Caenorhabditis elegans: one gene and its partners. The protein of the gene in region 2 interacts with the protein of the main gene of each other region in a pairwise test. Each region holds a gene or a part of one and is shown on either strand. Other genes may lie near its edges.

The links.
Region 1: the proteins of hlh-2 (region 2) and hlh-14 interact in a two-hybrid assay, tested with the Caenorhabditis elegans proteins (2 studies listed by BioGRID).
Region 3: the proteins of hlh-2 (region 2) and hlh-15 interact in a two-hybrid assay, tested with the Caenorhabditis elegans proteins (2 studies listed by BioGRID).
Region 4: the proteins of hlh-2 (region 2) and hnd-1 interact in a two-hybrid assay, tested with the Caenorhabditis elegans proteins (2 studies listed by BioGRID).

What each region holds. Positions count from the first base shown.
Region 1 is NC_003280.10:5,737,090-5,740,663, forward strand, and holds hlh-14 (Helix-loop-helix protein 14), read right to left. Parts: upstream 1,807-3,574; 5' UTR 1,713-1,806; coding exon 1,656-1,712; intron 1,558-1,655; coding exon 1,410-1,557; intron 1,089-1,409; coding exon 847-1,088; 3' UTR 696-846; downstream 1-695. UniProt on the Caenorhabditis elegans protein: Probable transcription factor, involved in determining neuroblast cell fate, morphogenesis and aspects of terminal differentiation in both left/right symmetric and asymmetric neuronal lineages.
Region 2 is NC_003279.8:7,190,030-7,195,795, reverse strand, and holds hlh-2 (Helix-loop-helix protein hlh-2), read left to right. Parts: upstream 1-1,875; 5' UTR 1,876-1,888; coding exon 1,889-2,033; intron 2,034-2,383; coding exon 2,384-2,871; intron 2,872-3,710; coding exon 3,711-4,012; intron 4,013-4,124; coding exon 4,125-4,266; intron 4,267-4,433; coding exon 4,434-4,556; 3' UTR 4,557-5,008; downstream 5,009-5,766. Other genes in the region: plag-15 (PhosphoLipase A2 Group), read right to left, coding at 5,306-5,766. UniProt on the Caenorhabditis elegans protein: Transcription factor which binds the E box motif 5'-CA[TC][AG]TG-3'. Plays a key role in the anchor cell/ventral uterine precursor cell (AC/VU) decision; required for VU fate.
Region 3 is NC_003284.9:2,412,195-2,414,882, forward strand, and holds hlh-15 (Helix-loop-helix protein 15), read right to left. Parts: upstream 1,184-2,688; 5' UTR 1,095-1,183; coding exon 970-1,094; intron 920-969; coding exon 775-919; 3' UTR 759-774; downstream 1-758. Other genes in the region: trpp-12 (TRansport Protein Particle), read left to right, coding at 451-540; glr-7 (GLutamate Receptor family (AMPA)), read right to left, coding at 1,870-2,080, 2,573-2,688. UniProt on the Caenorhabditis elegans protein: Transcription factor which binds the E box motif 5'-CA[TC][AG]TG-3'. Involved in modulating physiological aging, probably by regulating expression of branched-chain amino acid transferase-1, bcat-1.
Region 4 is NC_003284.9:11,682,661-11,686,514, reverse strand, and holds hnd-1 (Hand transcription factor 1), read right to left. Parts: upstream 1,955-3,854; 5' UTR 1,789-1,954; coding exon 1,646-1,788; intron 1,589-1,645; coding exon 1,474-1,588; intron 1,340-1,473; coding exon 1,144-1,339; intron 1,097-1,143; coding exon 870-1,096; 3' UTR 727-869; downstream 1-726. UniProt on the Caenorhabditis elegans protein: Probable transcription factor which regulates early embryonic myogenesis, in cooperation with transcription factors unc-120 and hlh-1.

The DNA of each region.
Region 1 (3,574 bases), on a different chromosome or scaffold from region 2:
CTTGATTATTAGTTTTTTTAATTAGGCAACTTTTACAATTAGCTTAACTCGAAGCAAACAGTTGTATTTTTTGAGATCACCACATTTTTGATTGCTCTTCTACTTATATCCATAGAGCCCAAGTCACAACTTTGTTCTTTTTGCAGATATCAAAAAATAAACAACTAAAAATTGTAGAGGATGATTTGATACATGTCTTGTATGCCAATAATTTTTTAGTAAAGAGGATTCAGTAACTCAATTGATAAGTGATCAAGTGGCTCAGTTTCTGCAAAACTCTTCAACTTGAGGTCTTTCAAATTTTCAATACAGTACGACCTTTTCAGGTAATCTAGACAATTTTCAGATGTTTCTCAAAACGGACTGTCGCTTTCATTAGCATCAGTGTCACTCAATCTAATGAAAACACAAGTCACTCAGTCATTTATGCCCCTGTCTCTCTCCCTCCCTATTTCCACTCAATCCACATCATAAACCCTTCTTTTTTATTTCTTGTCTTCTTCATTTTCTTCTATTGTATTTTTCTGTTCATGACCCAGAAATGGTGCCAGCCGGGGGATTATTAATAAGGCTCGGCATGTGCCTCCCCACTGGGTTTCGTGGAAAGGGGTCCTAAGACGCCAAGGTTGTTTCTCGGATTTTAATAGGCTAATAGAAGAACGAGAAAGCGAGGCGATTGACACGGAATTAGCTAGTTTTAATGTGTAGGAATTGATTTATTGGCTATTGAGTTTTTTGGAAAAAAATCTAACAATTAATATTAAAAACAAAAACAGTATGGAGACCCGTAAATGCACCAGATCTTTGAATGATAAGAAGGGAATACTAAAATATCGATTTTCCAAATTAATGGTGTGGATAATTGGAATATGAAACTGGAGGATAACACATTTGAGTTGGTGAGTAAGAAGATGAGGAAACTGATGATGTTGGAGAATTGAAGTTATGGGAAACATCTCCATGAGGTACTGACATTTGATTTTGTGGGCAATAGTTTTGAGGCAAATACATCGAGAATTCTTCTTTTACGGCATAATTGTTGAAGTTGTTGCTGTTGTTCATCGTGTAGTCGGGAGTTGAAGAAGAAACTGAAAAAAATTAATTGAGAATTGTAAAATCAAATTTTAAATTTTGAGAATTAACTAAAATAGAAAATTGGAAGAATACTACTTGTGAGGAAAAAATTAAAGCAAACTTTTAATTATTCTAGATACAGCTCGTACAAAAATGCTAATTAAATTGCATATCGAATTTTACAGAATTACAGTCTAGAACAGTCTAGAACATAGAAGTACACATGATTGCTAGCTTTTAATTTGTTTTGCTTATTATGATGTTACACTACAATAATTATATTTTTGCTCTATATGTATTCAAAAATTCTTTTAGCACATGAAGACTTATCTTACCTGATGGTTGCTGTGGATCTTGATTGAGAAGAACCTGAAGTTGTTGAATATACTTGACAGCTTCACGAAGGGTGTCTGCTTTGCTCCATTTCTTGGTATGATTCTTTGGTTGAAGACGGTTGCGGAGCACGTCGAAACCATGGTTTACCTGGAAAATGTTTTATTTAAGAAATGTACATTGAGGGACAAAATAAGTTAGAAAAAAATTAGTACTCAAAAATATTGATTCAATATAAATGTACATACCTGATGAACTCGCTTGCGTTCTCTCTCATTTCTGGCAACTTGATTCTTCTTGGCCATTGCTTCCTTTTTTTGTTGGGCGGGAAAATAAAAAGAGAGAGGGAAGACGGTGGTGGCTAGGAGTGAGTGTGGGTGAACTGAATGAATAAGGCTAATGGTGAGAGGAAAGGCGGGACGGGACAATCTGATGGGCGGGACTAGGAGGGTGGATATTGGCACAAACCGTATTGGCACCAAATTATAGAGGGAGGAGTTGAAGAGTTCGAGGTCAAAGGATTGGGAGGAGGTACAAATCTGGAAAATCTGAAAATCTGAGCTCAGACCCATATTCTCAAATTAAAATGTAACAAAAAAGTTTTATAAATTTAGACCCTGTAAATCAACTTTTGAAGAGTTAAAAGTTACAAAAACTTCTACCGATCCAAAATGTGGGAGGTATGACCAGTGCTTGTACGAGCACATATGAGATCCCTCTCTAAAACTTAAAAAAATCTTGTTTTTCTGATTGGCATTTCATGCTATCATTTTAGAAGTTTTCGTGAGGTGGCCAATTAAATAATTTTTCTTGTAACTCCAGATTTTTTTGTAGTTACCGTACTTTCACCCAATCTGGCTCTTTCAAATAATTTCGCACCAATACGGACCAATTGAAATATTGCCCTGACTTATAAATGCTCAACGCTCAAACGAATTGTTAAAGATTATTTTGAACTCTATAAAACGCCAAGTTGCCACCAAAGATGTACATTTCAAAATTCGGAAATTAGATTTGTATTCCAGAAAGATAAAGACAATTCGTTGTCGTTGAAAAAATATTTGAAATTGGTGAAAATCCAAATTATATCATAACGAACGAGAATTACAGTTAGGAATATAAAAGTTTGAAAACTATAATTTTTAGTTTGAATATTTTTAGTAAATTTAGTTCTACACATACCGTATTCGCACTATTAGTGTCAAAATGTCAAAATATTTATTAAGATATATTCATACCTCTTACCTTACAGCTGTGAGAGTTCAAGAAAATAACAATTAAAGATTCTAGCATCATCCCCCCATTTTTAAGATTTCCATATCTAACAATTCTTGAAAAATTCAAAACACGACCATCAAATTAAATATATTCTCTCCTGCAAAAATCCAGTGACAAGGTCGATCATTTTTGGGTCACTCACTCCTTGAAACTGTTTGGTTTGTTGATTGATCAGTCTTTCTTCCTCTTTCTTTTCTTTTCAATTTATCCTAGATTATTCAAAAAGAAGGACATACACTGTGATAGTCTAACCATATAAAGTATATAGTTATAAACTTTTCAGTAGTCTAACCTTGACTGGTACTTAGCTAACTTAATAGACATGAAAAGATGGGCAAAGTGTGCGCCTCACTGACCGCGAAGTTACATAATCCGTGGCGGAAGGTTCAAAAACAGAGAATTGAGAAAGAATACATAAAAAATGAAGTCGGAAGACTCTTGGCGGCGCTCTTTTTGTTCAGAATTATAGAGTTGAGGTTGAAGTTTGATTAATTAAATGTTTTTTTGGAAAAAAGGTTTCCAAAAGTAAGCTGACCTTCATTTCAGGAAGACTTTTGAAAAAGTCTTACTCATCATTCCATCAATCTGTTTCTATTTCCTTACCACCCTGAGAGATCACCAAAAAAGTTGTATGGCGGGAGAAATAAGCGAACAATATGTTTCCGCCAAAAGATACGCCGCCATGAAGGAAAGTGATTTAGAATAGTTTTTTGCGGTCAGTTTACCTTGAAAGAAAAAACTGTTGGAATGTGGGTATCGAGATGTAGGTGAAACTTTAATTCAATGTGGGTGAAACTTTAATTCGGGGAAATTGAAGATTCTACGGTCTTTGGTACAAAAAAATTGAAGGAAACTCCACAATATGCTATTTTCAAGCAGGTCCAAAAAT
Region 2 (5,766 bases):
ATTTGATCTGTCAATGATCAGATAAATCTTCTAAAATGATTGAAATCTGATTGAGACCTATCTTTACTTGCATCCCTTTTTCAACATTCTCAAATAAGTATCACCATTTAGTTAATCATATTTGTAGAACAAATTCGTCATTATTACCGTATTTCTAACTTTTTCTAACCAAACCATTGAGCACTTGAATTTGATGACAGCTGCACTCCGTCCCACAATAGACACCTCCCCAAATACTCTCGAGAAAAAAGTTCCAGTACCGTATACTTTTGACAACATCTGTCAAAAAATGCACTTTAGAGACGGGCATTGGAAGTATCATTTCTTTTTATAATTGTTGGTTTATTACCACAGAGAGACAATTTTAGGATATGGCTCAAGATATTTGAAGACTCGAGTAGTCCCACAGTATTGTGATTGCTGAAACTTCTGTTGTGAATATGAGTAACTTTATTCTAATAAAATATACCCCTTTCCTGTGCACACTCTTTCTCTCACTCTTACCATATTCTGAAGAATTAAAATTTCAGAGATCCCTACAAAACTCTAATAACATGCTTCAAAAATGAATGTACTCCCTACAGTCGGGTGGCGACATTTTCCCCCAAGAGAGCTGACCTCTTCTATTCATTCAATCCCCTTATTCATTCAATCCTTCCCCCATTTTCCTCTCATTTCACCCAAAAAAGACTGGTGAATGAATGGTGGGAGAAGAGATGGAGGACCCCGGGATAATAGAGGATTGTGTGCTGCAGGAGGTAGAGAGAGATGGTTGTGGGCGTGACCTCTCCCGATCATCGTCTCTGCGTCTCTTGGATGTAGACGGTCCCCGGGAGAAAGAATGTCTGCGTCTATGTACACCAATATACTGTTTATGTCCCTTGAATGGGCTTTTATACGCGTCCCTCCACTACCACCACCCTCGAAGAACCATTCCTAGCCACCCGCATAGCCGCTAAGAAGGGGGGAGTGCACTCTTTTCGTCTTTTTTTGTGTCTAAATCTGTTCCGTTTACTAGCTTTTCAAGTTCATGATCTTACTGTAATAAAACATAGCACATATTTTGAATGAAATACATAATGTATCCCATCTTCTGATTTTGAAAATTAAAATTTCTCTCCTCCCAATTTTCAATTTTGGATCTTTTACCAAATAATTTTGATCTGCATTACTTTTTCTCACTCCTACAATGTTTACGAATCCTTACCAATTTTGAATTTAAACAAGAACGCAAATGTATTGTAGGGCAGTTTTTTTTTCAATTATTGAGTTTATCAAAAAATGTATATTTGCATCCGAAATGTTACTAGCTCACGTTTAAAGCTTTCATATATATCTTATCCTACGTCTGAATTTAAACTAATTATTTAGATGGGCCTGAAACCCTTTGATCCATCACCCCTTTACTGTTATTTTATTGCTCTTTCGGGATGTCATCCATCCGATAATCATCTACAATGACATCTACATTTACAACTATTTCTTGATACCATCTCAACATCATTACCTCCCTACAAATTGTTCTCCTTCAAGTAACTTGCTCCTAATAATTTATACCGGAACTTAGTAGATCTATTGTGACGTCACAATTATTATTCTTTATTGATCTACCTTGCCTCTTTTGATCTCGTTTGCCTATTTAACCAAACGAGGAGAATCGATTATTTTCTTCTTTTTCTTATTCTCAATATTTCTTCAAATGGGGTTGTCTTGACGAAAATCTAATCAGAATATATTTACTAACCTAATTTTTTCACCTGCTGCTCCAGCCCAATTCCCTACTTATTCCCTTTCCTCTCCCCGCTTCTCCGCTGACTTTATTTCTTTGACATTACTACTATAATCGTCTTTCATATCATTTCGCAGAAATAAAGTTTTCAGAACCTCAATGGCGGATCCAAATAGCCAACTTACGTCAGCCACAACTGTTGCAACTGCCGCCATTGCTCAACCACAGGTTATGCTTCCAAATGCATATGATTATCCTTATAATATTGATCCGACAACGATTCAGATGCCTGATTATTGGAGTGGTTAGTCTTTTTTTCATTTGAAATCTATTATAATTTCAATTATATCATTTGGTAAACCAAACCAAACATGTTTTCGTGAATTTGTTAAAAGTCGCTTGTAATCAGTTAGAAATATTGGATAAATTGCAGAAAAAGGATATAAGTTTGGTATTACTTATCTCGAATTGTTGAATTGTTGATTTTATAAGCTCGCAAATTTTTAAAATTTACTTTAAGTTGAAACAAAATGTATAACTCTTTTAATGTTCTAAAATTTTGTAAAAATCTGGTTTGCTCTAGTAAGTAGTTTATTAACCAAAATGTTTATATCTCATTTCTCAAGTGCAAGTCATCTAAATAAACATTTTCAGGATACCATCTCAACCCGTATCCTCCGATGCAAACAACGGATATTGATTATTCATCAGCCTTCCTTCCAACACATCCACCAACTGAAACCCCTGCTTCCGTAGCTGCTCCAACTTCTGCAACATCTGATATTAAGCCAATTCATGCAACATCATCCACTTCAACGACGGCTCCATCTACTGCTCCAGCTCCAACTTCAACTACTGATGTGCTTGAGTTAAAGCCAACAACAGCTCCAGCCACGAATTCTGCAGAAACATCAGCGATTGTTGCTCCACAGCCTCTTACTAATCTTACCGCACCAATTGACGCAATGTCATCAATGTATACATGGCCACAAACATATCCAGGTTACCTTCCACCTTCAGAAGATAACAAAGCAAGTGAAGCTGTTAATCCATACATCTCAATCCCTCCAACATATACATTTGGTGCTGATCCATCAGTTGCCGACTTCTCATCGTATCAGCAGCAACTTGCTGGACAGCCGGTACGTTTCTATTCTTCTTGGTTTTATTCGTGTTTTACTGTTTTACCACAAGTTAATCTCGACGAATGATTGCTTGGCCCTCCTCAGCCGCCAAGCATTCACGTATGCATAATCCGCTTCCTTTTGATGTGAGCCGCCGCCTTCTGAAGATTGAGATGCATGCAAAAGGCGGCATCTTCTTGAGAAGAACACCCTGTGCGCACTAAACGACCTCCAAAAAAGTCACTAATGTAAACATAAAACAAGGAGAAACATACAGAAAAGATGGATTAGTTACATAATTAGGCAAAGTTTATCGCTTTTTTTGTTGGAGGAAATTTTTGAGATTCTTTCAGTTTTCTTTAAAATAATTTTTGCCATATGACAATACTAAACATTAAGATTCTGAACTACTGTTGTCGTGAACAAAGTTTTGAGACCCTGATGACATTTTTTTGCGTTCCAGTCTTGAGAAATCTAGAATAATATGGTAAAATCCCTGTATCCAACCTCTGACTAGTGAATAACTAAATTGGCCAAAATTTGAAGCTCTTGCTTTTTGCATTGTTACCCAATAGCCGGTCACATTTTCTGATGGTGTCCTCGAAAACCGAAGGGGGCTATTGACCGACGTCGCCGCATGATTAAGTGGTGAACAGAGACGGTCACATTGCGGGGTTCAGTACATTAAAGAGATCGATTGATTTGACTCGGCCCCCAATAGTACCATTTGAGAGAATTAACTGACTAGCAAGGCAAATGAAATTAATTCTTTGTTTTGTTTCATTGAGAGAAAAAGTTGAGTAGTTTTAGATGAGGGTTATAGAAATTATAAAACCAAAAACAATGAAATATTGCAGAATGGTCTTGGTGGAGATACCAACTTGGTTGACTACAATCATCAATTCCCACCAGCCGGTATGAGCCCACACTTTGATCCAAATGGATATCCAGGAATGACCGGAATGCCACCAGGATCAAGTGCATCATCTGTTCGAAATGATAAGTCTGCATCAAGAGCAACGAGCCGTCGTCGGGTACAAGGCCCTCCATCTTCTGGAATTCCAACTCGCCATTCATCGTCTTCAAGGCTTTCTGATAATGAATCAATGAGTGATGACAAAGATACGGATAGGAGATCACAGAATAATGCTCGAGAAAGGTGAGGAGTTTTTTACTTTTAAGACGTTTTGAATTGAACATTGGAAATTGACAATTACATAGTAATTTAATCGAGATATCTCCAAATCTAATCTAATACAAAAAACTTACAGAGTACGAGTTCGTGACATCAATTCGGCATTCAAAGAGCTCGGACGAATGTGCACACAGCACAATCAGAATACAGAACGGAATCAAACAAAATTGGGAATTCTACACAATGCAGTATCTGTGATTACACAATTGGAAGAACAGGTTAGATAATTTTTCATATTTTAAAGAAACATTCAAATTGTGAACAAAATTAATTGGCAATTGTTCGACTGCTGTATTTTTGACTTTGAAGCACATAACATTGCGATGGAATTTATTCGAAAAATTTAAACAAAACACTGAACAAGTTGAAATTTATAATTTTACAGGTTCGTCAACGAAATATGAATCCAAAAGTGATGGCTGGAATGAAAAGGAAACCTGATGATGATAAAATGAAGATGCTTGATGACAATGCACCATCCGCGCAGTTTGGACATCCACGGTTTTAAATTTAAAAATTGACTTTTTAAGCATTTCAAACTATCATTCCCAATCTTCTCCCAATCATCCATACGGCTAAAACTCTCTAGCATATTGTTTTTTTGTTCAAACTATTCAAATGTTCCCCTTCATCTCCCTCCGGATTGGAGGTCCTGTGATTTCTCAACTTCAATCAGTTTTCAGTTTTAAAAATTTTAAACTTTATTACAAGATCATCACAATTTTCTGTATGTTTTTAATTTATTTTCTCCTCTAAATTTAAATCAATCAATAGCTAATTCTAATATTTCAAGTATTAAAATTAACTTTCATATTATTCATTCATTCAATCAACTTCTTCCAACTTGTCTTATTTTTTGTGTGTGTGTATGTGATAAACCATAGCTAATTAGTATCTACTTGAAATGAAATGGTCCACTCAAAAAAAAAGACACCGCCAACTAATTTCACACATGAATTACTCTATTGGGTAACTGTTTCAACACTTTAATTATCCAAGCTCCGATGAAGTGCTAATGTCCTTCGCAGTATGGATTCCACTTTATGTTGAAAGGGATTCCCATTTATAATTAGACATTTAGTTTGACTTTCTAAGTCGTTGAAACGAGATGTTTTTTTCATGGTCTGTCAAAACTGATGTATAGGAATATTGGATGTATAAAATGTCAACAACGGGAAAAAATGTGATACAAACATAATTCATTCACCTTGATCAAAACAAACAAAATTTTAAAATTCAGAACCCTTTTTGCATCACTCAAATTAACTGGAAAATGGCTTTTCGGACAAGTTCAATTGCATTTGGATGTTTAAGAATTGCCATGTGATCAGCTTGAAATACTTCGTGTACAGTAACCTTATAACCATTATTATTTCCAATCCAATTAGTGCACACTGTAGCTGATTTTTTGTTCACTGTCCCGTCTCCATCACCCATGAATTCAGTTGGTGGATAATCTGGAAAGTATCCGGGAGCCCATGAAAACTTTTCCGGTGTGGGGACTCCTGTTCCATAAATACAATGAACTGGAACTCCTGGAGAACTTAAATTTCCATTCAGACGGGCGGCCTGTTTGTATTGTTCCCATCCAACCATGTAATTAATGTCTTGAAAGAATTCTTTAATATTTCCAACAGTGTAGTTTTTGTCAGCAGTTGTCGCTAATATTTCATGTGGTTTCCATGCAACTGGACTTGGAAACAGAAAGGCCGAAGAGG
Region 3 (2,688 bases), on a different chromosome or scaffold from region 2:
CTGGGTATTTCTGTAATTCTTGAAAAATATAATTTTCCAGTCAAAAAATATGCCAAGTCTAAATTTGTGAAATGCTGATTACAGTAATATTTTAATTTCAAATGTTCCAAATATTTTTCAGCATATTTCAGCATATTTTCAAATATTTTTGTGACGGTTTGAACTTGGGAATAAAGCCAAGGGCAAATTGTTTATAGTGCTAAAATGTCCAAATAGAATAGGAAAACATCTTTAAAAAACTGATATCTCAAAAATTGGAAGAAGAGATAATTGTCATAAATTATCTTTTTTTTTTCAAAACTTATTAATTAAGTTTATTAATAAAAAAACAAAAATCACGCACAAGAAACAATTTTTCTCTACATTTTGTGAATCATTAAAATGGAGGAGTGTCCCATAGCAATTGGGTGCACTGTATATGTCTGTGAAAAATCAAACTTCGGTTTATAGATTCTACCTGGCCCAACAACTACAAACCTGAGAACGATTGCTGAACTTTGCTACTCAACAGCGGCTAAAGATGAACTTCTGATCAGATGAACATGATCATGAAAAAGAAAAAGTCAAACATAAAAACAAGGTGGAGGTGCTTCTATTCCAAATTCTAGTCTGATCTGGAACTATATATATATATATATCGGTTGGCCACTGTGAAGGTTGTGAATTCAAATCACAACTGATCTGTATAAGCATAATTTATTTGCATGTTTTTTTTTGACTATACATTTGTTTAAATTTCAGTGTGTCAAAAATAAATGTTTAATGCCAATATATTTATTGAAGCAAGTTGTCTAGAAAACTTATGTAAGCAATTGAGAATCGTAGAATTTCAATTTTTGAAAGTTTCTTTTCAACGGGAAGAGTTGGCAGGAGAGCTCGCAGTTGGGAAAATGCCATATTGAATGATTCTACACGAATTCTGAAAACAAACTATTTTGAAAGTTACCAAGTTTTAGAATTTGAACCTACCTTTCTCGGGTCGCATGAAGATTTCGATATTTTGGAGTTGCACGTCTCCTCTTCCTTCGTTCGGCTTTTGAAAGTTTTCGGTATTCTTCAGACGTGGTGTCCAATCCTCCATCTTCCATGAGCATTGTCTTTGAATAGTGGAACACTTGCTGGAATAGAGGATAGGAAAACGAGTAACAGATTTACCGAGTATCTGCATATCCCGAAACAAAACAGAGGCGGCGCGCGATGAGCCCATTTTATTGCTCATAACACTAATTGAGTTGGTCCACGCCCATATGTGTCCCTTTTGCACGCTGGCCGCCACTAAAGGATTACCTTTTTCAAGTGTTTTATTAGTAAGACATTGTAATTGGACTTTATTGCACATACAGAAAAGATACTCGTAATAAAAGGACACTGGAAGAAAATAAAGATTTCGGAATTTTAGTTGTGGTTTAGCGCCAGTGGGTTTTTTTCTGAACTTTTATATTTTTTTAAAATTGCCTGTAAAAGGTTTGGCAAATTGCCAAATTAAAAAAAAAGAGCTTTTAATCCTTTAGAATGTTTTAACACAAACGATTAGAACAAAATAAAAGTATAAACATCGTCCAAAAAAGTTTTATTTTTATTTTTTAAATTACAAGTGGCAAACTGGATAATTGTTACTTTTTGTCAGTAAATTAAAACTTTCCAAGTTTTTTAAAAATTGTACTATGATATTTGGCTAGTTTTGCACCATAGAAGTAGTTTTAAACACTGTCCCCACTGGCGCTACTTCACATTTAAAAACTTAAAATCAGAATAAGTATAATGCTTCAAATACTTTTTTAGTGCAAGAAATCCCGTTGGAATCACACTGGGAATGTAAATATCGGTCAACGAATTGTAAATAAAAAATATCAATCAAAAGAATAGCTGCTAGTATTGGAAGGCTGTGTTCTCATAAGCTGAAACAGAATTTGATCGTTTCGTCCGTCGAAAGGTGTTTCCATTGGTTTTTGTGCCATTTGTAAGTTTAGGAGCATCTTGCTTAACACCATTTGTATGAAAACCATTTGGAACGACTTGTTGGGATTGTTTCATTTCAAGTTCTTCTTGCTCTTTTTCAGCGGCTTTTCTTGCTTTCCTTCTGAACAGTGGATTTTTAAATTAATGATAGCTTGGCATTTAGAGCAATCTTCTCGCTCAAATTAATGAAGGGTACTTGTGTAGTTAAATGGCCCAAACTAACAAGTTTTCAGTTCATTTCTTTTGAATTGATAATTTACTTGAAAAGTGAAATTGATTTGCATTTTTAGGCCTAGAGAAATTCCTAAAGTAAGCCTAACGTTGTCAAAAATGGTCACGTAAAATTTTTAACAAGGCTAACATTTTTGTGCCAGGTATGCTACGCATGTACCTAACTTTGATAGACACTTGGCAAAGACATGGTCAGACTTGATTCAGGCTGTGCCCACGTTTAGCTCAAGTTGAGCTAAGTCAACGACATAAAAAAAGTTCGGGGCAAAATTATACTTGAACACAGCCTGAGCCCAGTCTTGCCCAAAATTTTACCAACTTCGGGAGAAGAACCTTACTTTAAATGCCAAGATTCTATCTGAAAAAAGTATTCCAAACATACTTATAATAATAGTATTCAAATGCCAAAGTGACTATGGAAAGTGCAATGCCGGCTAGAATAACGATGAATACACCTCCAATGTTTTGAATCGAAATGCCATCACTTTCATCCGATGA
Region 4 (3,854 bases), on a different chromosome or scaffold from region 2:
AGCAGAGATAACTTATCACCCTTTAATGCATATTTTAGTTTTTTATCTCAACTAAATTTGTTGATGTTACAACCTCCAAGCCAATAAGCATTCAATTTTGTTCATTTTCGCGACAAATAAAACTTGACGAAATTTCAGATTTAAGCAAAACTTGATGTTTTGTTTTGAAATTTTTATCCGTCATACAACAGTTTTTGAATTTTTTTGCGAAGTCTAACCAAGAAATTCAATCGTTTTGGGCTAGTTTTAGTCTATAAAAGAAACATAACCACACATTCCACTCAGTAAAAAAAGGTTCGTCCGTTGTGACACTTCGTCCGTTGTGACACAGTTCGCAAAATTTTAGCGTCTAGCGATCCAGAGGAAATATTTTAACTTGGGCCCACAGTTTTTGTTCTGTGTAATTTTCTACGCATGATTTTTCAATTATAGGAGGAATTTGCAATCTTTGAAGTAGTTTTACTTTCAAAGTTTATTGAAAATATGATACTTTGTGCATTGATATTTCTAACACTACTTTTTTAAATAAAAAATTAGAGTTTAATACCGATTATCTTGACTTTCTGGACATAACCTTTGTGTATCAAATAACTTTGTCCGTTCAAGTTCCCCACAACTTCCTTCCCCTCCACATCTACGGCTCACATGGCACCATATAAGTAGGATTAGAGGCCACCAGGGATCACAATATCTTATTACATAAACATTTTTGTTCGTTCAAGAGCACTGTTTATTAGGTAACAAATTTATTGAATATAACAAAGTTTATGGCCGGAAACGGACTTTACAATTATGTTGAGCAATCAAATAACGTGTCGAAATATAGAGATCAATTAAGGAAACCGTGAGTAACATAACATGAGACAATGTTATTGCAAAATTGGATTACTGTTCTCCAATGAAGTTGGATCAATAACTGGGAATGTGCCATAGTTGTAATACTCATGCGAGAACTGATTTGGGAAGTTGGCGACCTGGACCATTTGTGTTTGATATTCCATGAAGTTGGTGTTGTATTGGTTAGCATCTACGTGGCGAAAGTTGCACACATTGTTCGAAATCGGTCCGAATTGACGGCTCTGGTAAGGAGTATATCCTGAAAATTTCAATTGTTTTTCCATGTCTCTATTTTTATGATCTTACTTTGTATTCCCTCCGGAACTGAGCTGCAGCGACGGCGTTGATCTTCGCGAGCCAAAATTCTCTTCACAGTTGCTTCATCCAACTCCTGATTGTGGGCTCTCTCTCGGTAACTGTTCCGAATTCTAATCTCATTCGAGATATTGACACGGAAATCTGAGTGAGTGAGTGGGCGAGATTCGTTGCAATCGGTTTCGAGCTGAAAAAACGTACAAGAGTTAGGAATTTGAAGAAATTTGATATTTGAAACAGTAGATAATTCAAAACACGATCATTTTGACTGATGGTACGAAAAAGTATTACTACAGTTACAAACATTATGATTCGACATACCATCTCATTTCCTCCCAGCAATTTTTTCAAATGATCAATGTACTGCATGGCAAGACGAAGCGTTTTGATCTTTGGCAGCGACTTTCTCTCTTCCGATTTGAGGTATGGAATATGTCTGAAAATAAGATTAAGTTAGCTATTTGTTTAGGGAAAAGAAATGTTAACAACTTACTGCTGAAGAATCTCAAAGGCCGAGTTGATACATTGAGCACGACGATGCTCCTTCTCGCGAGACTTTTCCTTTCTTGACTTCTTGGAATCAGTGGATTCTAATGAAGAAACCGCATTGTTTCCAGCAGTTGTTGATTTGACCATTTTGTAGATGAGCTAGCGATATATCACTGACTTGAATCGGAGGAATGAGGTACGCAAGATGGGTACGGGTGGGCGGAGCAAGAAGACAGACCCCGCAAGGGAGGATAGATGCGGGCAGGAAAGGTTCACGATGGTGGGAGGATCTGTGTAGACTACTATCCGGCCTGGAATATGTTTTTGTTGTTGACATTATACTTATGTTGAGGTGGAGATTTTTTGTATAAAGACAGGCTGTAAAACTGGAATGGCAAGGGGTTGTAAAATTGATGATGTGTATATGTACATGGTTATCCAAAAATGTTCAAAAAAATAGACTTCCGATATTTGACTTTTTAATATGGGTTATCCGTGAAATATGCATGGCATCAGAGTTTGAGGCAAAAATATAAGTATAATTTTTATATTCTCAAATAAAGTAACAGGATTATTCACTTACAATTAGTGCTGCGATGTTTATTGAAACTTATTATCTGACGTCATAAAATTTATTCAAATACTATTGCTACATAAGTTAATATGACTATAAGAAAGTTTTTTTTTGAGTTTAAGATACTTTTCTAAAGAATCCACTAGTATCAACACAGTAAATCACAGTTCAGATACAGTCTACAAATGTTTATGAATTCTCGGTATACGAGTTCCCATCCGGACCATCCCCCGCCATCAAAAACTAGCCGCTTGCCGCCCTGTCTGGGCATCCCGACGCACGGCTTTCGCGCAATCACCCCTCTTCGAAAAGATGCCGACAAACCCGTGCCGGACTCAATTACACTTTGTTTAGATTACAGAGTGAGCCAATTGATATCATACGGTAGAGACATTGGCATTATTGATGCACAGAAATTAAGGGATTTAGTTGTGAATATTTGTTGATTGTGTTCCATTATTTCAAAAAATGCTTATCTACATTTATATTTGATAAAAGCAAGCATTGTTTTCTGACATCTTGCTAAGTAGAGAAAACGCCTTATAATGAAACTGGAAATCAATCTGTGTAGGTGTCTCTATCTTAAAAATTTCCCACGAATTTGGAATATATGTACTAAGTATTTCTTATGCAATCTTTTCAAAAAAAAAACAGTACTAAGAAAAATCCATGAAAACTACCTAGAAAGGCATCCAAGTCTGGTTTGAAAGGTGTTCCTGTATGGAATGTTTGGTACTTATGGGTTTCGTTCACATCAAAAAGTTTTTGCAGTTTTTGAAATGTAACGTGGTTTATTTGGAATTTTAGGCATAGTTATGTTATTTTCTAAATCCTGAAGTAAAAGTAGATATATTCAGTGTTAAAAATGTTTCAAAAACGTTTTTTGGGGGAAAAAAACCTATATGTACAGTTTTTCCTTTCAATTTCACATTTCACATACGGTTACACCGAGTAAATCATCTAATATAAACTAATCACATTTATGCAAGGTTTTATCAGTTTACACTACTCAATTTCCATAGCACAACTTTTTGCCTCAAATTCCAGTCAGTCGGTATTTTGCGTAACTCTGCCGTCAAAACGAGCGCAACCTTTTCCCTCTCATCGCGCGCTACTTCAAGTACGGTGCAATATAAACCGTCATATGCTACTCGGCACCTGTTGATTGCATTCAAATCTAGCCCCGTTAGGATGACTGAAAGAAATCCGCTTCGACTCCTGGGAAATCTTCAAACAGTGTATCAAGTTTACAACCAGGTCGTAAATTTGCCGCTAGTATTGATCATTAAACGGCGGAATAACAGCAGTCAATAAACATTCAAATACTTGTTTGAGTCGCTTTTGAATTATAGCAAAAACTGAGAGGGGGAACCAATTGCTCAAGACTCCAGGCTCAAGGAACTCTCATAAACTTTACGTTTGTAGTTGTAAAACGCAACCGTCTGGCAATGTGTCAGGTAATACTATCCGGTGAGGAGGATTTATTAGTTCATGAGACTCAGAACACCTCTCGACAAGGATGTGTTTGTTTGCTCAACTAATCTTGTGAGAGCAAAAACATGAGAAAATGGAAAATACATCAAAATGATGTGGTTAAATATTTTTGACAATGAATAAAACACTAAAGTTAGAGATATTT